7 linked regions of the Ovis aries genome follow. The protein of the gene in region 1 purifies or fractionates together with the protein of each later gene. This does not show direct contact. Links are inferred from orthologs where the notes say so. Each region holds a gene or a part of one and is shown in the gene's direction. Other genes may lie near its edges.

The links.
Region 2: the proteins of HECTD1 (region 1) and KPNA2 purify together in Homo sapiens (affinity purification with mass spectrometry; 3 studies listed by BioGRID, with this or other methods). This does not show direct contact. The link is inferred for Ovis aries from reciprocal best matches to the Homo sapiens genes HECTD1 and KPNA2.
Region 3: the proteins of HECTD1 (region 1) and SMC2 purify together in Homo sapiens (affinity purification with mass spectrometry; 3 studies listed by BioGRID, with this or other methods). This does not show direct contact. The link is inferred for Ovis aries from reciprocal best matches to the Homo sapiens genes HECTD1 and SMC2.
Region 4: the proteins of HECTD1 (region 1) and ZNF622 purify together in Homo sapiens (affinity purification with mass spectrometry; 4 studies listed by BioGRID, with this or other methods). This does not show direct contact. The link is inferred for Ovis aries from reciprocal best matches to the Homo sapiens genes HECTD1 and ZNF622.
Region 5: the proteins of HECTD1 (region 1) and IQGAP1 purify together in Homo sapiens (affinity purification with mass spectrometry; 3 studies listed by BioGRID, with this or other methods). This does not show direct contact. The link is inferred for Ovis aries from reciprocal best matches to the Homo sapiens genes HECTD1 and IQGAP1.
Region 6: the proteins of HECTD1 (region 1) and SMC4 purify together in Homo sapiens (affinity purification with western blotting; 3 studies listed by BioGRID, with this or other methods). This does not show direct contact. The link is inferred for Ovis aries from reciprocal best matches to the Homo sapiens genes HECTD1 and SMC4.
Region 7: the proteins of HECTD1 (region 1) and URGCP purify together in Homo sapiens (affinity purification with mass spectrometry; 4 studies listed by BioGRID and IntAct, with this or other methods). This does not show direct contact. The link is inferred for Ovis aries from reciprocal best matches to the Homo sapiens genes HECTD1 and URGCP.

What each region holds. Positions count from the first base shown.
Region 1 is NC_056071.1:39,550,826-39,555,006, reverse strand, and holds the start of HECTD1 (E3 ubiquitin-protein ligase HECTD1), read left to right. Parts: upstream 1-1,381; 5' UTR 1,382-2,173; intron 2,174-3,466; 5' UTR 3,467-3,599; coding exon 3,600-3,739; intron 3,740-4,181. UniProt on the Homo sapiens protein: E3 ubiquitin-protein ligase which accepts ubiquitin from an E2 ubiquitin-conjugating enzyme in the form of a thioester and then directly transfers the ubiquitin to targeted substrates.
Region 2 is NC_056064.1:48,650,015-48,653,514, reverse strand, and holds part of KPNA2 (importin subunit alpha-1), read left to right. Parts: intron 1-760; coding exon 761-849; intron 850-1,991; coding exon 1,992-2,260; intron 2,261-2,423; coding exon 2,424-2,518; intron 2,519-2,612; coding exon 2,613-2,876; intron 2,877-3,063; coding exon 3,064-3,297; intron 3,298-3,500.
Region 3 is NC_056055.1:18,966,920-18,970,419, reverse strand, and holds part of SMC2 (structural maintenance of chromosomes protein 2), read left to right. Parts: intron 1-2,148; coding exon 2,149-2,342; intron 2,343-3,410; coding exon 3,411-3,500. UniProt on the Homo sapiens protein: Central component of the condensin complex, a complex required for conversion of interphase chromatin into mitotic-like condense chromosomes.
Region 4 is NC_056069.1:56,858,979-56,862,478, forward strand, and holds part of ZNF622 (cytoplasmic 60S subunit biogenesis factor ZNF622), read left to right. Parts: intron 1-2,177; coding exon 2,178-2,290; intron 2,291-3,500. UniProt on the Homo sapiens protein: Pre-60S-associated cytoplasmic factor involved in the cytoplasmic maturation of the 60S subunit.
Region 5 is NC_056071.1:21,440,849-21,444,348, reverse strand, and holds part of IQGAP1 (ras GTPase-activating-like protein IQGAP1), read left to right. Parts: intron 1-2,793; coding exon 2,794-2,964; intron 2,965-3,500. UniProt on the Homo sapiens protein: Plays a crucial role in regulating the dynamics and assembly of the actin cytoskeleton.
Region 6 is NC_056054.1:227,749,703-227,753,202, reverse strand, and holds part of SMC4 (structural maintenance of chromosomes protein 4), read left to right. Parts: intron 1-1,384; coding exon 1,385-1,561; intron 1,562-1,800; exon of another isoform or gene 1,801-1,893; intron 1,894-3,500. UniProt on the Homo sapiens protein: Central component of the condensin complex, a complex required for conversion of interphase chromatin into mitotic-like condense chromosomes.
Region 7 is NC_056072.1:261,355-265,498, reverse strand, and holds the start of URGCP (up-regulator of cell proliferation), read left to right. Parts: upstream 1-1,344; 5' UTR 1,345-1,374; coding exon 1,375-1,397; exon of another isoform or gene 1,398-1,976; coding exon 1,977-2,063; exon of another isoform or gene 2,064-4,144. UniProt on the Homo sapiens protein: May be involved in cell cycle progression through the regulation of cyclin D1 expression. May participate in the development of hepatocellular carcinoma (HCC) by promoting hepatocellular growth and survival.

The sequences.
Region 1 (4,181 bases):
ATTCTGTATGATATTATAGTGGCGGATATGTCAAGATATGTTTGTCTAAACCCACAGAATATATACAACACTAAAAGTGAACTCTAATGTAAACTATGGAATTTGAGTAATAATGGTTTATTGACATACATTCATTGTCAGAAATGTACTAGGTCATGGAGTACTTTTGACAGCTGTGCATGTATAGGGGCATTTATAAAACATTTGCATGTATAAAACATTTTTAAGATTTATTTCTTCTCCATAGGAACTGTCTTCCTATTGCCAAAAACTAGACCCTTTCTCTCTCCACTGCTGGAGGATTTTTCCAATCTCCCAGTTAATCTCCTTTTCAAGGTAGTTCCTATTAGCTGTTCTGGTCACTCTCGCCCTATACATCTTTGTAAGACTCTTTAGAACTTTTCCAGTCAATGTTCTAGTCCAGAACTTGCTACTTTACCTCAGCATAAATTCTGTATCGCACACATTTAAGTCCCTGCTGACTTTTGCTCCTATTTTCTCCATCATTGCTTAACGCTGGTTTTTGCTTGAGGCACAGGTCCTCTTTCCTTTATTTTACAACTGATCAGGCTTTGCTTTCTTCTTCCTCCTCCCTTGTAGTGTTCACTTTATACCCATTTCTTCGGGGTCCAAATAAATGCCACTTCCTCCTTGAAGATTTTCCTGGCAGCTCCAAGTCACATTCACAGCTCTCAAATAATCATTCTTATGTGCTGTAGTTGGGACAAGATAGTGGAATCCTCAACTCTTATCTCTTAATTTGACCTATGAGCAGGAGACCTAGGAACTTTACCTGCTATAGTGGGACATGTATCTATAGACATTCGAGGCGCAAATGCGTAATTTACAAAATACTAGTTCTTCAAAGATATGCAGCAGCTCCTCTGCTTAAAGGAACACGCCTCAAATACTAATACGCATTTTTGTTTTTTAAATACAGTGGGTGTAGGAGCATGGTTTACTTATCTCACAAACCAAGGGATTCATTTCTTGATTAAAAAAAAAAAAAGAAAGCTATATCACATTTCCAACTAATTACGTCTCAACTGTCTCCAAGAGCTTCTCATACGCAGGCATGTTTTGTTTTCAACGCGTGTGAAATAAAACGTTCGAAGGGACTAACTACAGACATACTTAATATCACAACCCATAGGAAAAAGTCGAAAACACACTCGAGGTACTGCTGCTTCCTGGGAACGCCACCGGGCCTGAATTCAAACCTTTTGGAACCTCAGCTCTCTCGTCTGTACAGTGGAGAGGATACTCGACAATATTTACCTCCCAGGGTTGTGGTCAAAGGTTTTCTTTCTGAACTGCCGGGCAGTTTGCCTCCCAGGACCGAAGGGTGGCGCTTTTCTTCCCGCGATGCACTTCCGTGCGCGAGGAGGGGAGACCAGCGAGGAGGAGAAGCTCTCGCCGGAGGCCGGGTCCCAGAGGCGGGAGGCCGGGCCCGGACAGGTTGGGCCGCAGCTTCGACGTGCAGCGTTGGGGCTTTCAGCAGGAGCACGCCAAGTGTATACACACCGTGCAAAACACGCTGAGCGTGCGTGCACCCGTATGTGCGCGGTGCTGGGAGCGCGCTTCAATTGACAACGAAACGTGAAGGCGCAGAGCGTACGAAAGGAAAGCGACAACTGACGAGGCCGAGGGAGCCGGAGACCTTCTGTAGCGGCGACGAAGCTACCGGGCGCTCCGCGCCCCTGCGCCTCGGGCCGACGGGTCTCCACAGCGCCCCACGTGGCGGCCAGCGGGGTCGCAGCCAGCGCAGCCCATTTGCTCCGCCTCCGCGGCGCACTGCTGCCCTCCTCAGCTTCCCCGCCCGGCTCTCCCCCGACCCTCTTCCCTTCCCCCTCCCGGATCGCGATGGACGCGGTCTCCCCCCGCCGCCGCCGCTGGCAGCACGGCGCGGGCCTCTAAGCTGCAGGCCTCTGGAGCCGCGTGCCGGGGTCGGGACGTGAGCTGGCTGCCGCCGGTCTGGGGAACCTCTGGCTTTCCTGTCAGCAGGTCCCCGCGGAGGAAGGGGAGGGACAAGGCGCGGCTTTTCCTGTGCCGCCAGCCCGGCTCGACCTGCGCGGCCTGCGGCTTCCTGGGAACTCGAGGGCCGCGGCCGGGCCTGGCTCAGCCCGCGGCCTGCTTGGAGCTGGACCGGAGCGGTTTGAGACGACGGGCCTGGGTAAGAGCTTGAGGAAAGGGGACGCAGGAGCGCCTTCGGCGGTCGGAAGGGTCAGGCCTGGTTCCGGGATCAGGGATGCCTGGCGGTAGCCCGGGAGCGAGACCCCAGCCCCTGGTGAGGTCGGCGGGCTGCCGCCGACTCACCCGCTTGGCCCCTTTGTTTACCTCCCCCGACTCTGCCCACGGCGGGCCCCGGCTTGTCCGAGCCAGAGCCCATGGCTGGCCCGCCTTGTCCTTGAGAAAGGATCGCCGCCCGACGGGGCCAGGGACGTCCCCCCGGGCCTCGGAGTTCCGGGCGCCGCTCCCGGGAGACCCATCGCCCTGCCTGCTCCGGCCTCCTTCTCTCGGGTAGAGAGGCTCGCAGCTCCACCTCCAAAACTTACCCTCCTCCTCGACACAGGTAGCTAACTTAGCCGGGTTTGGTTCGGGAAAACCGGAGCGCAGTGCCTGCGTCTCCCGGCGCCGGGTCGGCTGGGCCCCGAGTTTTGGGTCACCCTTGCAGATCGCCGCCGTTGGGTGCCCACCGGAACCTGCCGCTGGATTTATGCACCTGCAGCTGGGTTACGAGGGACCCAACGCTGTCCTCTCGTCAGAGTGCTTTTGAGTTTTTGTATTGATTTGCCAGTTGGGGCTGCTTCTCTGTTGTTGGCTGCTGTTGTTTTTAACCAACTGCCCCGTTCGGTGAGGATGGGTAAAGAGGACCGCAGATTGGCCTGTGTTCTGATCTGTAACGTGTTAGTCCATTGCACTTACTTGTAGCATTTCTTTTTAAACTTTTAAGAACAGTTGCTGCTACTGCCAAAATTCCTAATCAAATCATAGATAGATCTTGTATATTGTTTGTATTTGGACATCTTAAGGATAGCAGTAAATTAAATCAGCAGAATTTAAGAAGTTGAAGTTAATTTTAGAGACTTGATTTGGAGGGGAATTGGATCAAAGTGCTAAGTTTCCTTAAAATACTGAATCTAATCCTTATCAGAAGATCAGCTTTGGGTGACGGAGGGGGAAGGAAGTTTTCTGGGGAAAAAAAGAACCCTTAGTAAGGTGTTGTTTGCCTTTTGGCAAACATGTTGGTGATAGCAATAGTGGGATCCGAAGCTTGTTTGACTGTCTTTGACAAAGGCGGCTCTGGTTTCCAGTTTAAGCAGCAGCCTAATCAGCTTATACTCTTGTGCAAAACTGGTTTTATTTAGTACAATGTATGAAGTTAAACCCGAGGAATAAGGAAAGTTGGAAAACTACGGTTAAGTACACTATCCAAACATACTTACAAGTCTTTTCTAATTCCTAGGATACCAAGAAAATCTGGCTCTAGCCGATGTAAAAGAAAAGAAAAAAAATTAAGCCCACGCTGTTCAGTCCTGGACATTTAAAGGAATTTTTGCCTTTGCTTTTTAAATTTAAGCAAAGAAGCCTAAGAAACAATGGCAGATGTGGACCCAGATACTTTGCTGGAATGGCTGCAGATGGGACAAGGAGATGAAAGGGACATGCAACTAATAGCCCTTGAACAGCTATGCATGCTGCTTTTGATGTCTGACAACGTGGATCGTTGTTTTGAAACGTAAGTGCAACCCTTCATCATTTTCATTTGGGGATGCTGTAGTGACCTGGGCATAACGTGTTTTCAACCATCTGCTGATTTGAATTTGTATAGAATTTTTCTTTAGTGAGTTTTATTTTTTTAATATATTTATTTTAATTGAAGGCTAATTACTTTACAATATTGTATTGGTTTTGCCATACATTGACATGAGTCCGCCACAGGTGTACATGTGTTCCCCATCCTGAACCCTCCCCCCCCCCCACCCTCCCCATCCCATCCGTCTGGGTCATCCCAGTGCACCAGCCCCAAGCACCCTGTATCATGCATCGAACTTGGACTGGCGATTTGTTTCACACATGATAATATATATGTTTCAATGCCATTCTCCCAAATCATCCCACCCTTGCCCTCTCCCACAGAGTCCAAAAGACTGTTCTATAAATCTGTGTCTCTTCTGCTG
Region 2 (3,500 bases), on another chromosome or scaffold:
CCCCCTGAATTCGACCTGTGTTGTGTTTTTCAAGTTTTATACTCAAATCTCATCTTCTCTTTGTAGCACTTCTAGGTCATCCTAACAGGAAAAATGCTTCCTTCCCAGAATTCCTACAGCACCCCATTCTGCACCACAAATGAAGAGTAAATTCTGTATAATGCTATATACAGTGTTTTATATATATAATCATTTGTTCTGTGGTGTTTAGATTTTACATTGTCCTTGTTGTAAGGTTTTAGGGAGAATGTGATACTGTCTTTTTGAGTTAACTGTAGCTTGGTTCGCAAATGCTGCAGTTAACTCCAATATGTAGTTACTACCTATAATGTTTATGTGTGCATAAATACCACATAAACCGGAGGGGAAATGCATGGATAACAACTTTAGCTTTTCAGATTCCCAGCACATTGCCTCTAACTCTGTCCCTTTTCCCCTAAAAGCATATCTGAATACAAGTGATTGAGACTAATGTAAGAATAACCTTCGCAGTGCTCTAGTTCATTTTTTTTAACCTATTCACAGCTACTTTTCTTAGTGACTAGATGCTGGGATACTCCATCACTTAAGATATCATTTGGTCATGACACCTAATTTGAGGATTGTTCTATATATTAAATATTGAATATTTAACAGGCGAATTTAAATGTGGGACTAAACTTTAGTAACTGATTATAAACAGAAATGTCTTCGTGTTGGGATTGCATTGTATTTAATCTTAAAAATGATAATTTGAAAATTAATTTCCCTGTTCTTGTAGGGCACTGTAAATTGGTCTGTTGATGATATTGTCAAAGGCATAAATAGCAACAATTTGGAAAGCCAGCTCCAAGCTACTCAAGCTGCTAGGTAAGTCTTGTCTTCTGTAGCATGAGTAAACTAAGAAATCAGCCTTTTTACATTTTTTGGTGGGAAAGCAATGGCAGGTGGTGCAGAGTAAAGGTTAAGCCAGGCCTAGGCCAATTTTCATTATAATCTTTCCTAATCTAAAATTTTCTGTAGTTGCCTCAAATTACATCTACCTCCAGTGATAACTTTAGTGTACTTCAGAAATGTTTTCTTGTCACTGGCATTTCAAGTCAATGTCAGGGAAAGGAGGAATTATTCAGTAACTGGGATTACCACATTGATTTAGAATGGTTCATCCATTTAGGAAATAAATATATTCTATTTATTAGACTCTTCCCACCCACCATACACAGCTATCTGTGACATCCATAATATAAGGATTGATGATCTCTGTAGCCTCACAGTGTGGGGAAAAGCAGGTCCAATTGGCAGAAGATCAGGGGAAACGTGTGTGTCCCCACCACTGGCCAGAGTAATGCGGATTAATGGACTGTGATGGTATCGTATGTCAAAGTTTTTAAAAAGTGGTAAGATCTGGAGTAGATTTCTGCAGAGAGAAGGGTTCTGCGTCATTGGTAATATTTCAGTTTTGGGAAAAGTAGTTTACGACACTACCCCACCATGCAAACAGTCTGTCTGCTCAGCTCCTCTTAAATTCCAGGATATGTCAGCATTTAGTCTTCACTGTAAAAGGTTACTTAAAGTTCTAAACTCTTGGATTAAGATGCATTTTATTTTATTTTATTTTATTTTTTTAATTTTTATTTTTACTTAATTTTACTTTACAATACTGTATTGGTTTTGCCATACATTGACATGAATCCGCCACGGACGTACATGAGTTCCCAATCCTGAACCCCCCTCCCACCTCCTACCCCATATCATCTCTCTGGATCATCCCCGTGTAAGATGCATTTTATTTATTTATTTTTTTCTACTTTTATTGGTTTTGCCATACATTGACATGAATCCACCACAGCTGTACTCATGCAAGATGCATTTTAAATTGTGTTTTTTATATGAACTTGTTTGGTCTCGAGTTGGCGTTTTAAATTGTGTTTTTGTTTTTATTTTTTTCCTCTGGTATGAACCTGTTTGGTTAATCACCTTCAACTTTTGTTTCTCTTTTTGCTTACCCATAGGAAACTGCTTTCTAGGGAAAAACAGCCCCCTATTGACAACATAATCCGGGCTGGTTTGATTCCAAAATTTGTGTCCTTCTTGGGAAGAACTGATTGTAGTCCCATTCAGTTCGAATCTGCCTGGGCCCTCACTAACATTGCTTCTGGGACTTCAGAACAGACCAAGGCTGTGGTGGACGGAGGTGCTATCCCAGCATTCATTTCTCTGTTGGCATCTCCCCATGCTCACATCAGTGAACAAGCTGTATGGGCTCTGGGAAACATTGCAGGTACTTGGATTTGAAATTGGCTGAATGTCTCCAGTCATACTGAGGTTGGCATACGTGTCTTAGTGTGTTTGTTGCGTCAAGACATTGGTGTACTCTGTAACGGAAATTAATGGCACTAGACAGGTGGTAGTGGTTGACTCAGCCGCCTTCTTTTTTTTTTAAGGTGATGGTTCCGTTTTCCGAGACCTGGTTATCAAGTATGGTGCAGTTGATCCGCTCTTGGCACTTCTGGCTGTGCCTGATATGTCGTCTCTAGCAGTAAGTTACTTAGCATAAGTCACGTTTCTCACTGATTCTCATTTTCCTACCCCCCTTAAAAAACCACTTCATTGCGTGTTTCTTTTCCCCCCAGTGTGGTTACTTACGTAATCTTACCTGGACGCTTTCAAATCTTTGCCGCAACAAGAATCCTGCACCCCCCTTAGAGGCTATTGAGCAGATTCTTCCTACTTTAGTTCGTCTCCTGCATCACGATGATCCGGAAGTATTAGCTGACACCTGCTGGGCTATTTCCTACCTTACTGATGGTCCAAATGAACGGATTGAAATGGTTGTGAAAACTGGGGTTGTACCCCAACTTGTGAAGCTTTTAGGAGCTACTGAATTGCCAATTGTGGTAAGTTGATTTTCAAATGAGAGTATAAAGTATAAGGAGCACAATTAGTTGGTACTAATATTGACATATTATATATTTTAGGCCATAATGAGCCTCTTACCTGTCAAAACTTTTAGGGTGTAGAGATTTTGAGTAGTGCTGGAATAGATAAAAGATAACTGCCAGCGTCAACTTTTTTTCCTTTCAGACTCCTGCGCTCAGAGCCATAGGAAATATTGTCACTGGGACAGATGAACAAACACAGGTTGTAATAGATGCGGGAGCACTTGCCGTGTTTCCCAGCCTGCTGACAAACTCCAAAACTAATATTCAGAAGGAAGCTACATGGACAATGTCAAACATCACAGCTGGCCGCCAGGACCAGATACAACAAGTTGTGAATCATGGATTAGTCCCATTCCTTGTTGGCCTTCTCTCAAAGGTACTGTAGCCTTAGGACTTAAATGGGCAGGCACTTGGTAGAGTTGTATTTCTTAAGATTCTTAACATACTAATGCTGGGTTCTGTTTAACAGTCCTTTGCTAAATAATAGTAGCCTTTTTACTTTAGCTTGGATAGAACCAATTGAAAGTCTTAATCACTTTCTTCTAAAACAGTAGTTTTGGAATCTTATTTTTATGACCA
Region 3 (3,500 bases), on another chromosome or scaffold:
TCCAAAATCACTGCAGATGGTGATTGCAGCCATGAAATTAAAAGACACTTACTCCTTGGAAGGAACGTTATGACCAACCTAGATAGCATATTGAAAAGCAGAGACATTACTTTGTTGACTAAGGTCCATTTAGTCAAGGCTATGGTTTTTCCAGTAGTCATGTATGAATGTGAGAGTTGGACTGTGAAGAAAGCTGAGTGCCGAAGAATTGATGCTTTTGAACTGTGGTGTTGGAGAAGACTCTTGAGAGTCCCTTCTACTGCTAGGAGATCCAACCAGTCCATTCTGAAGAAGATCAGCCCTGAGATTTCTTTGGAAGGAATGATGCTAAAGCTGAACTCTAGTACTTTGGCCACCTCATGTGAAGAGTTGACTCATTGGAAAAGACTGATACTGGGAGGGACTGGAGGCAGGAGGAGAAGGGGATGACAGAGGATGAGATGGCTGGATGGCATCACCGACTCAATGGACATGAGTCTGAGTGAACTCCAGGAGTTGGTGATGGACAGGGAGGCCTGGCGTGCTGCGATCCATGGGGTCGCGAAGAGTCGGACACGACTGAGTGACTGAACTGAACTGAAAACATCAATGTATCCCTGGAGTAAATCCCACCTAGTCATGGTGTATGATTCAGTGTGTTCTTGAATTCAGTTTGCTGATGTTTTGTTGAGGATTTTTACATTTATGTTCATCAGGGATGACAGCCTGTGATTTTTTTTGCTTATGGTTTCTTTGTCTGGTTTTGATATCAGGATGATGATGGCTTCACAAAATGCATTTGAAAGAATTTTCTTTTTGTCTGATTTTTGGAAGAATTTGAAAAGGAAAGATTAGTATTAACTCTTTAAATGTTTGATTTAATTCAACTGGACTTTTGTTTGTTGGGAGGTTTTTGATTCCTTATTAAATTTCCATATTACTGTCTTTTCACATTTTCTATGTCATCATGATTTAATCTTGTTAGGTTGTCTTTTTCTAGGGATTTATTTCTTATGGGTTGTCTGATTTGTTGGTGTGAAATTTTTCATAGTTACCTTTTATGATTCCTTATATTTCTGCGGTATCAGTTGCAGTATCTTTTATTTCTGACTTTGAGTCTCTTTTTTTCCCCTTAGGTCTAGCTGGAAGGTTATTGGTTTTAAAGAGCCAGCTTTTAATTTCATGGATTCTTTTTTCTATTTCTTTTTAGTCTCAATTTCATTTATTTCCACACTGATCTTTATTATTTGCTTCCTTCTACTAACTTTGGGTTTTGTTTTTTCTTCTTTTTGATGCAATTCTAAATGGGACTGTTTAGTATATAGAAACACAACAGATTTTTGGTGTAAAGTTGTTTGAGATTTTTCTTTATTTCTTTAGGTTGGCATTTGTTGCTATGAACTTAACTCCTCGAACTGATTTTGCTACATCTAATGTACATTTGGTTTGTTGTATTTCTGTTTATCTTTGTGTTGGGTATTTTTAAAATTTCTCTTTTGATTTCTAGAATGATATTCTACAGTGAAAACTAGTATAGGAAATTGTATAATCTTGGCTTTCAAGGTTATGTTTGTACCTAGTCCTAACACTTAACAGTGTATGTTGATTGTGAGCATAACATGCTCATTCTATCTTACTTTATTTTTTTAATGTCTAAATTCAGAGGTAATATGTTTCCTATGCTTCGTCCTAAGTATAGTCTCACAATATTTCTCCACTTTAATAAGAGTTTCCTTGAATAAAAATAAGTGAGCAAGGAACACTAAGTTAAGCTTTTTTATGGGGTTAATTAAAAGTATTCTTATAACTAAAATAAAAGTACCATAGTTATGTGCTCAGTTCTGGTTTTATAAAGCATATGGTATATAAAACGGTCTGTGATCTTTTTATAAGTTAAATTGTAGATAAAGTTTATGTTACTCAATTTCATGTGATTGGAAATAATTTCTTTACAGAATTTAGATAATTCAAGTATGGCTCTAAGGTATGACCTGTGTTTTCAACATACTATTTCTAGGATAAAGTTAGAACAGTTAATTTTTTTTAAACTCTTGACTCCAACTTTCTATACCTTTTCTTCTCTTAAAAGTTGAATTTGTAAGCCCTTTTCTGTAGCTGTTACTAGTTGGAAGATCTCATTTAGTTGTATTTGCCTGCTTTATAATGCAGAGGAAAGTGAGGAGACCTTAAAAAACACCAAAGAAATTCAGAAAAAAGCTGAAGAAAAATATGAGGTGTTGGAGAATAAAATGAAAAATGCTGAAGCTGAAAGAGAGAAAGAACTGAAGGATGCACAGAAAAAACTAGATTGTGCCAGAACTAAAGCAGATGCTTCTAGCAAAAAAATGAAAGAAAAACAACAGGTAATTTTTTTTAATAGAATTAATCTTTTAACATCAGCGTAGAACTGAAGGGTGGTAGAGCACCATTGGTTGACATGGCCTTCTTCATCGATATGTGTCACAAATCAAAAAGTGAGAGACAAAGTTGCTTGATAAAGGTTTGATTTTGATAATGTTTCATTCAGGAGTGGACCAAAGCTTGTATCATGTAAGCCAAGCTGTGTCTTATCAGAGAATCACTGTTGACGTTTCTGTTTGGTGATCATCTGTTTGAACAGACACTGTGAAGGAATAATGATGGCAAAGCATGTTATATTTGCAGTGCTATTCAGTTGTAGACTATTTTGGATAGTTTCAAGGCTGGAATTTGAACCTATGTTTTTCTGTTTACAAAGAAGGCTACATGCTCAATCACTATTCTATACAATTTCACTATTGAATACAGTTTCACTTAAATCTAACTTTGCTTCACAGTTCTTTTTAAACCCACCTTATGATTCTACTATTAAATATTTAGCTTTATACAAAGCATTTTGTAAAGAACTAAAGGCTATAATGGGAAAGAAGAGAAGCTATTTTTTTTTGTCATTAAATAATTGTTTAAAAAAGGTTTTTAACCTCTCCTAATTTATCTGCTATATAGAATTCTGTATTATTTTTCTCTATAGGAATAAAAGGATGAAATAGTTTATGCAGAGTTCTTTGAACCCATAAAAATTGTATGTACATTTTTTAATATAGAAAAATAAATTCATTTTCCCTTTTTCTTCTTTGGAAGCAGCTTACATGTTTTCAGTAATTGAGTAAGCTATGGTCCTTACTTGCTTAAGTATCTTATTAGTTTTGCTGAAGTGAAGTCGCTCAGTCATGTCCGACTCATTGTGACCCAATGGACTGTAGCCTACTGGGCTCCTCTGTCCATGGGATTTTCCAGGCAAGAATACTGGAGTGGGTTGCCATTTCTTTCTCCAGGGGAACTTCCCAACCCAGGGATCTAACCTGGGTCTCCCGCATTGTAGGCAGACGCTTTACTGTCTGAGCCACAGTAGTTGGTAACTATTGAATGCCCAGATGCTGTGTTTTTTATAGGAAGTTGAAGCTATCACCCTGGAGCTGGAGGAGCTCAAGAGAGAGCATGCATCCTATGAACAACAGCTTGAAGCTGTAAAGGAAGCTATC
Region 4 (3,500 bases), on another chromosome or scaffold:
TTTAGTGTGAGTTTCTCCAATTATTTTCCGTGTGTATTTGTGAAAGACAGATTCTTCTAGAACTACAGTGTCTTAATTTGCTAGTTTCTGGATGTACTCATGTTACTCTTTGGGGTAATTAATTAAATTAAAAAATTTAAAAATCCGGTTCTTCAGTTGCACCACCCTCATTTCAAGACCTATGCTTAAAAGCAGATGTGCTTTGAAAGTAGCCACTATACTGGACACGCAGACTGAAGATCTGTATCATCACAGAGTTTTCCTGGACTGCGCTGTTCTAGAACTTGTTTCTGTAAGGATTTAAATTGAGAGCTGCATCTCCCACTGTACAGTCTCCTCCTCTTCCCCTGTTTGCCAGCCCTCCTTGAGAGAAACAACACAGGTGAAAGAGTTGTTGTAGGTTATTTGCTCACTGTTTTTAAGAATAATTTTAGGTTCTCAGCAAAACTGGACAGAAGGTATAGCAGTTTCTTATGTACTCCGTACTCCACAAGTGCATAGCCTCCCTCATTATCAGCCTCCCCTAGTGGCACATATTGTTGCATTTGATGAACCAAGTTGACCCACCAGTTATCATTCAAAGTCCATAGTTTAGTGTTCACTCTTGGTGTTGTCTACTCTGTGAGTATGGACAGATGTCCATATAGTGACATGTATCTACCATTAGAGTAGTTTCATTTGCTTATAGATCCTCTGTGTTCTGCCTGTTCATCATTCTCCTTCACCTGACCCCTAGAAAACAGTGATACTTAATGTCTCCATATTTTTGCCTTTTCCAGAATATTGTATGGTTAGAATCATACAGTATGTAGCCTTTTCAGGCTTCTTTCACAGTAACATACTTTTAAGGTTCTTCCGTGTCTTTTCATGGCCTGCTAGCTCTTTTTTTTTTTTTTTTTTGGTGTAATCCAAAACTATTCCCTTGCATGGATGTACCACAGTTTGTTTATCTAGTCGCCTATTGAAGTCCATGTTGGTTTCTTCCAAGTTGTAGGAATTTGGATAAATCTTCTGTAATCCACTTGCAGGTGTTCGTATAGACAGAAGTTTTTGACTCCTTAGGGTAAATCCAAGCAGCAGGCTGGGTCTTATGGTAAAAGTATGTTTGATTTTGCAAGAAGTGGCCAGCTCTTCCAAGGTGGCTGTGCCCTCCTGTATCCCTGCTGGCAACGAAGGATTCCTACTGCCCAGACCCTCCCCAGCATTAGATGTTACGGGTCTGGGCCATTCTGATAGGTGTGTAGTGGTATCTCTGTTTTAATTTCCATTTTTCTGATGACATATGCTGTGGGGCATGTTTTTTATATGCTTATTTGCCATGTGTTTCTTCTTAGTGAGGAGTTTGTTGAGGTCTTTGGCCCATTTTTGGCCAAATGGGTTATTTTCTTACTGTTGAATTTTAGAGTTCTTTTTACATTTGGATAACAGTCCTTTATCAGATGTGTCTTCTGTCAATACTTTTTCCAAGTCTTCGTCTTGTATTTTAATTCTCTTGATACTGTTTTTCACAGAACAGAAGTTTTTAATTTGAATGAAGTTTAGCTGATCAGTTCTTTCTTTCATGAACTGTGCGTTTTGTGTCATGCCTAAAAAGTCATCACCAAACCCTAAGTCATCCAGGTTTTCTCCTATATTATCTTCTAGGATTTTTTATAGTTTTGTATTTTACATTTAGGTCTGGGATCCAATTTGAGTTCATAGGCTATTTGCTTACTTTACTAAAGAGAAAATGTTGCTGCTGCTGCTGCTGCTAAGTCGCTTTAGTCATGTCCGACTCTGTGTGACGCCATAGACGGCAGCCCACCAGGCTCCCCCATTCCTGGGATTCTCCAGACAAGAACACTGGAGTGTGTTGCCATTTCCTTCTCCAATGCATGAAAGTGAAAAGTGAAAGTGAAGTCGCTCAGTTGTGTCTGACTCCTAGCGACCCCATGGACTGCAGCCTACCAGGCTCCTCCGTCCATGGGATTTTCCAGGCAAGAGTACTAGAGTGGGGTGCCATCGCCTTCTCCGAAAGAGAAAATGCTAGCAAGTTGTTTCCTCTCCAGAAGCTTTCAGTATAGTCCCTGTAGACGTTAACCCTCGCCTGCCACCCCTTTAGTGATCTAGTAGGTTGGCAGTATGTTAATGAGATTTGGGGTCTTGGTCTGTGTGTTGATGGCATTCCATGGTTCCAGGAGTAGCTACCCAGATCACAAAGAAGGCGAGGACCATGATGAGACTGAGGAGCTGCCCTCAGAAAAGACCCTGGATTATGACGATGAAACTATGGAGCTGATTCTCCCTTCTGGTAAGTGCATTTGTCCAGAATACGTAGCTTCACGCCATTGAGATTATTGGAGAAGCATGTTCCCATCACTTCCCTTCCACGCTGTGGGGAGAGAACCTACAGCTTCAAGTGTGTGTTTATGTTCCTGTGGACAAGGTCAACTCTGAAGCGCGCCCCATAGCTCTGATTTAGCTGTTTTGTTTAAGTTGCATCAGTGTTTTCCTCACTTTGTTGTGATTTTTAATGCTTTAATCGGCCATTTCCTTTTGTGTTCTGTTTATTATCTAGCTTTCTGGCCCCTCTGGATTTTTCTTGTTAAACTTGACTTTGCCCTTACTCCTTGAATTAATTCCTGTTTCCATGGTTGTTCAGACTGTATGTGTTAGTCTGGCATGGTTGGATATGATTGACAGCACCTAGGCTTCCTGTTCATATTCTGGGTGCAGGGAAAGACTTGGAGTTTGAATTCTGCCTTCTCCTTTGGGGAACAGGATTCATAATGGTAGAATTTTGTCCCAGATATGAAAAGAAGAAGGAAAGCTACGACTATAAGTGTGAAATATTGTTTATAGTGTTATGCTTAGCTGATAGGAATGGGAGCAGCTAGAGAATATACATTTTAGAAGGACAAGGAATGGAATGATAAGATAATAAGGTTCTAATAATATTTTTACTGAGAAGTTAGCATATTCAGGCAGATACATTATTTTCTCTTTAGATCAAGTCTGAGTTAGATTCTGTTGTCCGTATTTGACATAAGCCACCTGAAGCTTAGACAGGATGAGTAATTTGCCTAAGATCATGGACCTCGTCAGTGAAGAGCCCATTCCACCTTTCCTCCACTGCCTGGGAGATTTGCTGTAATGGGGGGGCAGGGGCAGTCATGCTGCCAGTGGATACACGTCTGCCATGAAGGAATCACCTTGTGCTGTTTGCTCTCCACATGGAATATTGCTGTTTAGGTACAGACAGCCCTGCTTAACCTGGAATAATAACCTTCTAAGGTGAAGGGCAGCTTTATGCAGTGACAGTTGGAGGAAAGTGCCGGCAGAACCTGTCTTGAGGATATATCTCCTCTACAGTGATAAAGCTATAATGCAGCAGAATATTGTGGCCCGTGCAACACACAGTAGCAAAACAGGCGTAAGTGTATCACAAGGGACCTAATCTCCTCTTCCCCTGGTGAAAATACTAATGCAGAACCTCAGAAATAAGTTTGATAACTTCTTTT
Region 5 (3,500 bases), about 18 Mb from region 1:
CTGCTCAGTGTGATGCAGCAGCCTGAATGGGAGGGGAGTCGGGGGGAGTGGACACGTGACTCTGCATCGCTGAGTCACTTTGCTGTTCACCTGAACCTGTCACAACGTTATTAATTGGCTATAGTCCAGTATAAAATAAAAAGGTTTAAAAATAAATAATAAATTTAAAAAATAAAATTAAGGCTATATAACTAATTTGGAATAATTTTTTTTAGTACGAGTACCTCAAATCTAAATTAGTAGAACATCTGGATTATAGAATTAGGTCAGATAAATTGTGTGCTTTTTTTTTTTTTTTTTTTAAGAAAACTTGAATGGTCCAGCAAAAAAGAAAAATGAAAAGTTGTTCTGACACCTCATTAAATACAACTACTCTTACTCTTTCCCAATTTACATGCTTAATCTCTTTTCTGACTATCCCACAAACTCCAAACTTTGTTAGACTATAGCCTGCACTTTCACATAAAGTTAGCATTTTTTTATCTCAGCTTTCAGAGCACATCTTTACCATCCCCTGTGTCTTTGCTGATGCTGATGTTCATTCTTTTTAGAATTTCTTTATTCATTTGACACTTTCTGAACACCTCCTATCCTCCTACATGTACCAGATATTCTTCTGTGCATCAGATGTGTAATCATAAACAAAACAAAGTCCCTGCTAATGTGAGATGTCCCTCCCCTGCCATCTACATCTGTCAAAATTCTGGCTGTCCAGGCATACCCATCTCAAGTGTTACCTCCTCTGTGTAACATAGATCAATGCTCTCCAGAACTTAACGTGTGTGTGTGAATCACCCAGGGATCCTGGTGACGTGAAGACTGACTCTGTGGGTCTGACATGAGGCCTGAAATTCTGCATTTCTGACCAGCTCCCAGGTGATACTGGTGCTACTGGTTCAAGCATATAGTTTTAAATACCACCTACATACATAATCATGTCTCCCTGTCTTTGAAAAACAAAAAAGAGAAAAATTTTAATCCTCTAGAGCTCTCCCGATTCAGTCTTGCCTGTAGGTTCATACTCTGTTCTTACTAAATGCCTTTGAGTTCGTCTGTCCTTCGTGAATTAATTTTCCATTACCATTCACGTCTTAGCTCATGGCTATCCAGCTCTTACTATAGTAAAACTCCTGCTTCAGAATGTATCAGTGGCCTTTTAATGGCCAAGTTCAGCGAGGAGGTGTGCTCTCATCATAGGCGGCCTCTCAGTGTGTTTGCTTCCTTAAACCCTCAACTCTTTCGGCTTCTCCAGCGCTGTTCTCTTCTGGTTCTACTTCCGAGTGTCCCTTCTTAATCTTTCTCTCCTTTCGTTTCCTCTGACTCCACTTGTGTTATATCTGGGTTCCATCAGCCCCTTTCGCTTCCTCTGTAGGCTTCCTCAGTCGTCTCTTTCAAGCCGGTAGCCCCCACTTTGGCCTGTGTGCCTGCAAACCTAAGTCTTGTTCCTTCAGACTCGCCGCCTGCCACCTGAGTCCTTCTCCTCACCACCAGGTGTGCCTTTGCATCTGCAGTTTAGGAGTCCAGCAGACACCTCAGCACAGGTTGGCAGGAAAATCGGGCCTGGAGTGGTACATAAGGGTGTATTTTTTTTTCCTCACATAAAGTAATTCTGGAGTTGAGCATCCAGGGAAGGTGTGGTGGCTCCATGATCTGGTCTGTCCCAGGGTTCTTCTGTCTTCCTGCTCTGCCATTCTCAAGGTCACCTTGTCCTCCAGAAGGAAGGCAGGCAGGAAGTAGGAAGACGGGGAGGAGAACAGGTAGGCCTGATGCCAGCTGTCTGTCTCTCTTAAAGAGTTTTCCTTCCCAAAGATCTTACCAAGCTGCTTCTGCTTGCATCCCATGGACTGTCCCTAGGTCATATAGTCTTTTTGTTTCTGTTTATTTGGGGGTTTTTTTGGCTGCACTGCATGTCATGTGGGATCTTAATTCCCTGACCAGGGACCAAACCCATCCCCCCTGCAGTGGAAGCACAGAATCCTAACCATTGGACTACCAGGGAGGTCCTCATGTAGTCTTTTAACTGTACACATTGCGGCCTGAGGGTAGCAGGGGAGCAGCTCTGACATCCAAGACAAGAAGGGACCATGGCTATCAGGTGGGTCTGCAGGTGTTCTCAGTAACCATTCTCGGCACTCCTGCCCTCACCCAGGGTGATCCAGGGCTGCTCTCACTGGGATCATACGCTACCAGGATTCTAATTCACCTGCTCACGCTAATCTGCCAGCTACTCAGCTAACCATGCTGCTTTTCTAAAACATATCTGACGGTTTTATTCCTCTTTGAAGGTTTGCTGGTTCTCCGGAGCTGGTAGTAACAGTCCAAACACGCTAGGCTGCTTCTCCAGACCATCTGTAGTCTGTCCACTCCCCCACAGGGCCCTCCTCTGTGGCGTTCCAGGGGCTCCAGGCCTTGGTGGCACCTGTCTCTCTGTCTTCTTATCAGTATGACCCCAGATCAGGAAGCACAGTTCCTGGGATGGTCAGCATTAGATAGGTGAGTGAGTAAAGGAAATGACATGAGGTCAAAGAAGGATGTGAGGACAACTTGGCCTTGAAAAATAGACCTGAAGTCTTCATTCCTGTTTCTTGGCTAAAGGTCTAGAATAGGGGCTTCCCTGGTGGGTCAGTGGTAAAGAACCCACCTGCCAATGCGGGAGGCATGGTTTTGATCCCTGGCCTGTGCACCGCAATTATAGCCTTGGCCAGCTGTGAGCATTAGTGTGTGCACTGCAGATGACACCATGTTAAAACTCTGTTATGTGTACATCTTCTCATGTGACTGCTGTGTTTTCAGAGTTCCATCTCTGGGGTAACGGCTGCGTATAACCGGGAACAACTTTGGCTGGCCAACGAAGGCTTGATCACCAAGCTGCAGGCTTGCTGCCGGGGGTACTTAGTCCGGCAGGAGTTCCGATCCAGGATGAATTTCCTGAAGAAACAGATCCCGGCCATCACCTGCATTCAGGTATTTCAGAGCCTCCTGTGCGCAGACTGCAAGGGGGCTTCCAGAGCAGGACTGATGAACAGTCAGAGCCTATAGTCGAATGTCTGAGTGTAATGAACAGTCAGCACCTGCAGTCGAGTGTCTGGGTGTGATGAACACTCAGCGCCTAGAGTCGAGTGTCTGGGTGTGATGAACACTCAGCGCCTAGAGTCGAGTGTCTGAGTGTGGTGAATAGTCAGTACCTACAGTCAAGTGTCTGAGTGTGATGAACACCCAGTGCCTACAGTCGAGTGTCTGAGTGTGATGAGCAGTCAGCACCTACAGTCAAGTGTCTGAGTGTGATGAACACCCAGTGCCTACAGTCGAGTGTCTGAGTGTGGTGAATAGTCAGTACCTACAGTCAAGTGTCTGAATGTGGTGAATAGTCAGTACCTACAGTCGAGTGTCCGAGTGTGATGAATAGTCAGAGCCTACAGTCGAGTGTCTGGGCGTGATGAACAGTCCAGTGCCTATGATCGAATGTCTGAGTGGGTTTTTGCCTTCTGACCATCCCTTTC
Region 6 (3,500 bases), on another chromosome or scaffold:
CATCTTCAAGTAAGGAAGACAGGATTTCAGTACATTACACATTTTATTAATTTGGGCTTAAATTAGCTTGTAAAAATTAGTATATGGTTAAAGCAGAACCAGTATTGATTTCATTGCCTCCATGATCGTATTTTCTTTTTGAGGTGTGATGGTGGCTGTTAAAATATTAATATTTTTAGTCACGGAAATGAATTATAAGTAGCTCATAATAGTACCTTTTTGAGCAGTTCTAGTATCTTGAGTACCAGTTTTAAAGTTATGTTTTCCTTGCTTTCAGATAAGTTACCTAAACTTGAAAATGTAAGTTGACTAATTTTACCATCTCTGTTATTTCAATTCACGTTAAAGTTAGTAGGAATCTACTACCCTTTTAAAACAGCAGAAGGATAAGCTAACTTTTTTTTTCCCTCTAAAAGGAGACAGTTATACATAAAATGCCTATTTGGGTTATTTACATGGCTCTGTTGGTACTGGGGTTTTTTCTCTTCTGTTTAATAATCAGCTTTGGGAATTCGTAGTTCAAAACTGGCTGGAACCTAAAAATGTAGAAAACTAATTACATAACAAAATGAGGATGTGATTTGGCCTCTAGGTCTTGTTTTTAATTTTAATGTAACGAGCTTTAAATAAATCTACATGGTGGTATATATTTTAATTTTGTTTCTTAGTGCTTTTCTGTTATACAGTTTGGGTTGGAAAGTAGATAGCCAGTAAATCAGATTTGATTTTGTAGCTTATTAATTACACTTGATTTGTGTGAAGTTTAAAAGTCATGGTTTCAAAATGACCTAGTTTTTAAAGGAAAGCAAGTTTTAATGTTAAAGCAGATTTGCCCTTCATTTCTTTTTGTTTGATTAAAAAATAGGGGAATGTAGTTGTCAGTTCTTTGCAGTTCTTTTTACCTTTAATTGATAGCTTATTTTTCACCACCACCACCACCCCCAAAAAATTAATCTATATCACCGTACTACCATCCCCTCCCTTTTTCCTTGAATCATCCCTTGCAGCTTTTTTTAATGAACTAATGTAATCTATCAAGGTGGTTTAATATTTGGGGTGAGTTTGTTTTGGATACAGTGGGATTCTTGTTTCCCTTCAGTTCTTTTCTCAGTTAAGTATGTTTCTAGGCTTGAAGATATAGTTGGTTTGACTTTTTGGTTTTTGTGATCTGTGAGGAAGGAGTCCAAGAACTCCTTAGAAATAGAAAATTATTTCTATTCTTTGCTAAGATAATTAATTCTAAGAACTATTGTTAGCTTTTGTGCATATCCAGTTAAAGTTCTTAATCCATAGAATTGGTTTCAATATGAATTGAGTGAAATTTGAAGCAACTTATGACTTAATACCAGCAATTGTTTTCTGGTTTTGTTTTTCCTCAAAACAGGAAGGGGATGATTATGAAGTCATTCCTAACAGTAACTTCTATGTATCCAGAACGGCCTACAGAGATAATACTTCTGTTTATCACGTAAGTGGGAAAAAGACTACATTTAAGGATGTTGGAATTCTTCTTCGAAGCCATGGAATTGACTTGGATCATAATAGATTTTTAATCTTACAGGTAAGTTTATTAAGACATCAGAGGTTCTCTCTTTTTTTTCTTTCAGTAAAAGCGTAAAGAGGTTTTTCCCTATTGGATGAATCCTGTATTTTTGAGGCCTTAAAGTACTGTAGCAGCACATCATGGTTTACATACTACAGTCAAGATGCGAATCATTATTTGCTGCTCTAGAAATTTAAGGAAATTCATTCAAAACTGTATTTTCATGATCATATGCTCATTTTGTTTGGATGGACTGACATACTTGTTCCGCTCTAGCAGCACGTAAATATTGGGGTAGTAAAATAAATATTAAACACCAATATTATTGTGCTGCTTTAGCGTGACAGGGACATAGCAACTATTTATTATTTTTGTTTGTATTGCTCTTTGTGATAACATTTTAAATAAGATTTGTTATCTTTTTATAATAGTTCTTTTACTTTTGTTCTTATTTGTAATCTCTACTAATATTATATACTCCAAAAAAGGGGGGAAAAAACCACTCTGGATTCTTGGTGTTTGACAGACTTCTCTGATGTAATTTTTTATTTTTTTAAATACTTAGAATGGTCAATTAAAAGCTTATACAAGCTCTGTGTTTTGGTTCAAATGGCCTATTGAACCACTACTACTGGAAAATTAGAAAGTGATATTTCATTCTTAAGTATCATACTGTTAAAGGCTTTTTAAAGAGCTATAACATTAAGTACATGGTGTTAAGTTGATTTTTATAAAAGAAACTATTCTTTATTTGAGTAAAGATATTTTCTACCAGATTTGCTTGGTAAGAAAATCCCTCATCTTCTCTATGTTTTACCTTTCAAAAAAGTTTTTAGTGTAAAAGCATGGCTTAAGAGGAAAACTATTGTGATGTGGAAATAGCTGCTGATATTCTTTAGTGTCCTGCACTACTGGTTTTAAACTGGATTTTGGTTTGAGAAATTTTTATTAGTGTGGCTGAGTGTTCCCAGTAAGAAACTTACAAAATGTTAGCCGTTATTTCCATTTTAGTCTATATTTTACAACTATTTTTTTTAAAATAAAAGTTATTTATACATAATATATGTGGAAAGTAAGTAAATATAATTCTGGGGTGACTTATGTTAGTATCTCACTACCAGTTCATTTGTATACTTCTGTAACCCAAACTTAATTTAAAATGGATGTTGGGAACTCATTAGCAGATATATTTCTAAATGAGATTTGAATTTACATAAATGTGGGGTTAAAGCTATACGTGTTTTTTAAATCAAATTTAACTGTTCTGGGACTTGATTTGGTTAATTATGGATTAAAAAGTTACGCCTCATTAGAAAACTAAATTTGATAATGATACCATTTTGCAGGAACTTATTGTTGTGTTTATCTTATTATTTGCTGTATATTTACTATCACCCTGAAATAATCAGAGTTTTACACCTGTACGTAGACTCATCAAAATAGATTGTATTTTAACCCTTGTATGTTTTTTTCCTTGGTGGAGCCTTTCTACATAGTTCTGTGAATAAAGGGAATTAAATAAAGTAACATCTCAAAGAGATAAATCAGAATAGTTTTTAAATTGTAAATTTTATATTCAGTATGTGCTTCTAAAGTGTCCAGGATGCTTAAGCCCTTTATCCTCATAATCTCAACTTGTTTTTAATCATCTTAACAGTTACATTGTTGAAATCATTTTTAATACCAAGGTAAACTTTCCACATTAACAAATTGAATTCCATTTGATTAAATTTACAGATAAAGACTCTTAGGAGCTCACCTGTTAGGAAGAAGAAACAGGGACTGGACTAGATATAATTATTTTATTTTAAAGTTTGAGGGAAAGAGGCAGTGGTTTCTATGGATTTTTATTTAGTTCCTTATCAAAATCTTAGATTCCTGCCCTAGAAATTTAAAGCATTTGAAGGTAAGTAAGAATACAATTTTCGTTACCTTATCTCCCACTAAATAACATTTA
Region 7 (4,144 bases), on another chromosome or scaffold:
GCCTAGTGGGCTGCCATCTATGGGGTCGCGCAGAGTTGGACACGACTGAAGCGACTTAGCAGTAAGAAGTTTAAGTTAAAACTTGATGCCTAACAGCCCCATTATGGATAACTGGTTTAAATTTATTTACTGAGGCACAACAAAAATGTTCGATTCAGTATTTTGTTCTGATCACAAAGCACATGCAACATCTCTGGCATGCTCGGAATGAAAGTGAAGTGAGGAGGTGTTCACTTGGTTTATTGGAGCAAGAAGCTGTTTTAGTGGAGTGGTTATGCCCTCAATTTTGCTTGTATGAACTATGGCTGAGTGTAGAATAACTTAGACACAGCTCTTTCTTTTAAAGAAGAATTCCCTCTAGGAGGTTTTACGTTCCTATTGAGATGACCTGCATGTCAGGAAGGCCTTTTTTCTGTTGTAGTTCAGACGTGGGTCTGTCTTAGATTCTCTGCATTGTAACTTTTTATAAAACTGTTAGTTGTCTTAATTAACAATGCACATGGTAAAATTTTCTCTTTTTTTAAAAATTTTTATTTTTACTTTATTTTACTTTACAATACTGTATTGGTTTTGCCATACATTGACATGAATCCACCACGGGTGTACATGCGTTCCCAAACATGAACCCCCCTCCCACCTCCCTCCCCATAACAACTCTCTGGGTCATCCCCGTGCACCAGCCCCAAGCATGCTGTATCCTGCATCAGACATAGACTGGCGATTTGATTCTTACATGATAGTATACATGTTTCAGTGCCATTCTCCCAAATCATCCCACCCTGTCCCTCAATTTTCAAAATGAACATAAATGAAAACTCAGGCACCTTGCCTCCTGCTCCTGTCTGAGCAGCTGGCATCCTCATTAGAGAAGCATCTCCCTGGGAGGCAGGGCACAGTGTGGATTCCAGTCCTCCTTGTTCTGTTTTAAATCCAGAATGCTTTTTGGAGATATCTTTGTTACTTTGTTTCTATTTAGCTTAGTTCTTTCTCATGGATTTGTAGATCTTTGTACATTGAGAAAACTAACTTTCATCCTTTGTGTTACACATGCTTTTCCACTGTCTGGCCTTTCGACTTTATGAAGCCTTTCCTACTCTGAGATTTTTTTTTTAAGTCTTAAATATTTATTTCAGTGCGTTTTTGTTTCATTTTCTAATTTAACTCTTTGATCCAGGTAGTTTTCATTTTGGTGAAAGGAGTAGTAAGAATTTACCTTTATTTTTTCCAAGTTGTTATAACTGAATAATCACCAGATACTTAGAGCTACCTGGATCAGGGACAAAATTCCCAACTGTATTTGGGCCTACTCTGGGCTCCTCTTTTACTATTTGTGAACCAGCAGGAGAAGGGGACGACCGAGGATGAGATGGCTGGATGGCATCATGGACTCGATGGACGTGAGTCTGAGTGAACTCCGGGAGATGGTGATGGACAGGGAGGCCTGGCGTGCTGCGAATCATGGGGTCACAAAGAGTTGGCCATGACTGAGCGACTGAACTGAACTGAACTGAACTGAGTGTATCTTTTATTTAAACTTTCAAAAATAGTTTAATGTCAATTTCTCTTACCTCCTTGAATGTAAGCTAAGAGCAGAGGTATTTATGTCCTTCCCAGATATATCCTGAACTCCTAGAAAAGTTCCTAGCAGTAAATAAATATGTGGCTAAATGCAGGAGAACACTGCCTTATATAAACTTGCTTCACATATGTAAATCTCTCTGAATCCTTATAGCAACCTCATTAGGTGTGCAGAGCAGAGATGGCCAGCTTTGTTTTAAAGATTAATGTGCATGTATTCTGCAGGGTTTGTATAATGAGTGTTCACAGTATCTCTCCAACCCAACCCTAGTAGAAGCTCCTGGAGGACTGGGGCAGCATTAGAGCTATTTCCTTGTGTATGGTGATCCTACATGGCATGAACCTGGGACGAAGACCTGTTGCTCATTACACCTGTTCTCTCCTTGGGACCCTCTTAGGTTGGGCTGTTTCAGTGATTATTGCCCTAGGGCCTTGCTTGAGGGGCATCGGCTGAGGCCAGGACACATTTGCCTGACATATGACAGGTATGCTCTTTCTCAGTGTGCTACGTTTGCTGCCATCAGGAAATTCTAGGTGTATAAAAGCAGGACAGCAGTGGGCTCCTCTGCCATGATCCCTGCACATGCTAGTGTGTTTCAGGGACTAAACTGCCAGGCTGCAGAGTGCTTGTCCATTACCTGTTTTATAATAACTTGTCCTCGTGTGCTGTTTGATGGAACTTTATCACGTATGTTTTCTCAGCCAGTCCTCACAGCTGCACAGTGAGTTTTAAACTTTTCAGTGGCTGGTCACCTTGCAAAGGTGGGATGGTCCCTAGTTTTGGCTGAATATTGTGGATCAGTTGTGTCCCCTCTGAAACATATATTGAAGTCTTAACCCCTAGTACTTGTGATTGTGATCATTTTTGAAAATAGGCTCTTTGCAGACAAATGTGATTAGTTAATTTGAGGTTGCACTGAGTTAGGGTGGACCCTCATCTAGTGACTGGTGCTCTTATAAGAAGCAGAGAACAGAGACAGACACATACAGGCGAGAACCCATGTCAAGACAGAGGCAGAAGCTAATACAGCTGTCAAGAGCCATATGTATATTGTCTTAGTTTGGTAGCGATTCTGTAACAAAGTACCACAAACTGGGAGGTTTAAAGAAATCAGAATATTTTTTTTCACAGTTTTGAATGTCTAAAACTTAGGTGTCAGCAGTATTGGTTCCTTCTGGAGGCTCTTTCTGTCCTAAGCCTCTCTCCTACCCTTTGGTGGCTGCTGGCAGTCCTAGGTATTCCTTGGATTGTAGACACATCACTCCAATCTCCACTTCTGTCGTCAAATTTTTTTTCCCTGTGTAATCAAATTTTCCTCTTATAAGGATACCAGTTCATTGTGCTAGGGGCTCACCTTACTCCAGTATAACATTGTGTTAATTTAACTAATTAGATCGGCTAAGATTCTATTTCCAAATAAGGTTACATTCATAGTAGGGAGGTAGGATCTGAACATAGCTATGGGAGACACAGTTCAACCCACCAAGAGGGTTTCAAAAGTTATTACTAATTTAGTGACACTTCCTGGGTAGAGCAAGTAGCCTCAGGTTAGGTTTTGTTTTGGGGGCTGTGATGGAGTAAGGGTCCCCAGCCAGCACCAAAGGAGGGAGACCTCAGACTCTCTTGTCTGTTGGCCCAGATGTTGGGCAGGGAGGAAAGTGGAAGATCTCAAAAGCTATTAGCATCAAACAGCAAAAACAAACAAACAAAAAAAAACAAAAACAAAAAAAAAAACCCAGGGTCAAACTCTCTATTATCCAAAGTTATCAACAATATACTGTTAACTGCATTATGGTAAGCAACACCCCTGTATTTTGTCTCCGTTTGTTTGATTTTCTGTGCTATCTTATTTTATTGGAACCACTTAGTGAAGGAGCCAGGTTTGTTGCTAGGAATTAGCCCTGCTCACAAGGTTTGGACAGTTTATTCTTAGCCTTGAGGGACAAGGAATTTTTGACTCTGAGGTGGTAGCATGCTTCTCCATTTCAGAGGTGGGTCTCCTGAATCAGAATCTTTAGGTATATATAGAAAAGTTCCTCACGTAATTCTGCTGTGCAATGTAAAAGGAAAGAATGAAGGAGAAGCAACTGTGCCTCGTTCTGTTTCCTAGGAGGGACAGCCAGTGCGGCAGACAGCTTGGGGTTGTCAGAGTCTTGATTCTGCCTGCCAGACTTGAAGGGAGCCTGGTGTACAGACCAGGATGTCTGCTTCCTAAACTTAGAATTGTTGGACACACTTGGTCCTCAGGATGGCATTCAGAGCACCTCTTGTCCTGGAGAGAAGCTTGTATGGGAGGTGCCTCCAGAAGGGAAGTTGAGTCATGGTGCCATGGTCCCGAGGACACTGGCCTGGGCAGCACAGACCAGGAGCCAGGGACTGAGCTGAGTTCCACTCGTGGTGCTATGCTCTGGGGTCCTGAAAGGACCAGCGTGGGTCTCAGGAGAAGACCGAGAGCCTTTAGATAATCCTTCCTTTAAATAACCCTTAAAGGAAGCAAAACAGGACACATAGAATATAGTCCTATATATTCATTAATGCAATAAACTACAGCAGCACAAATAGGTC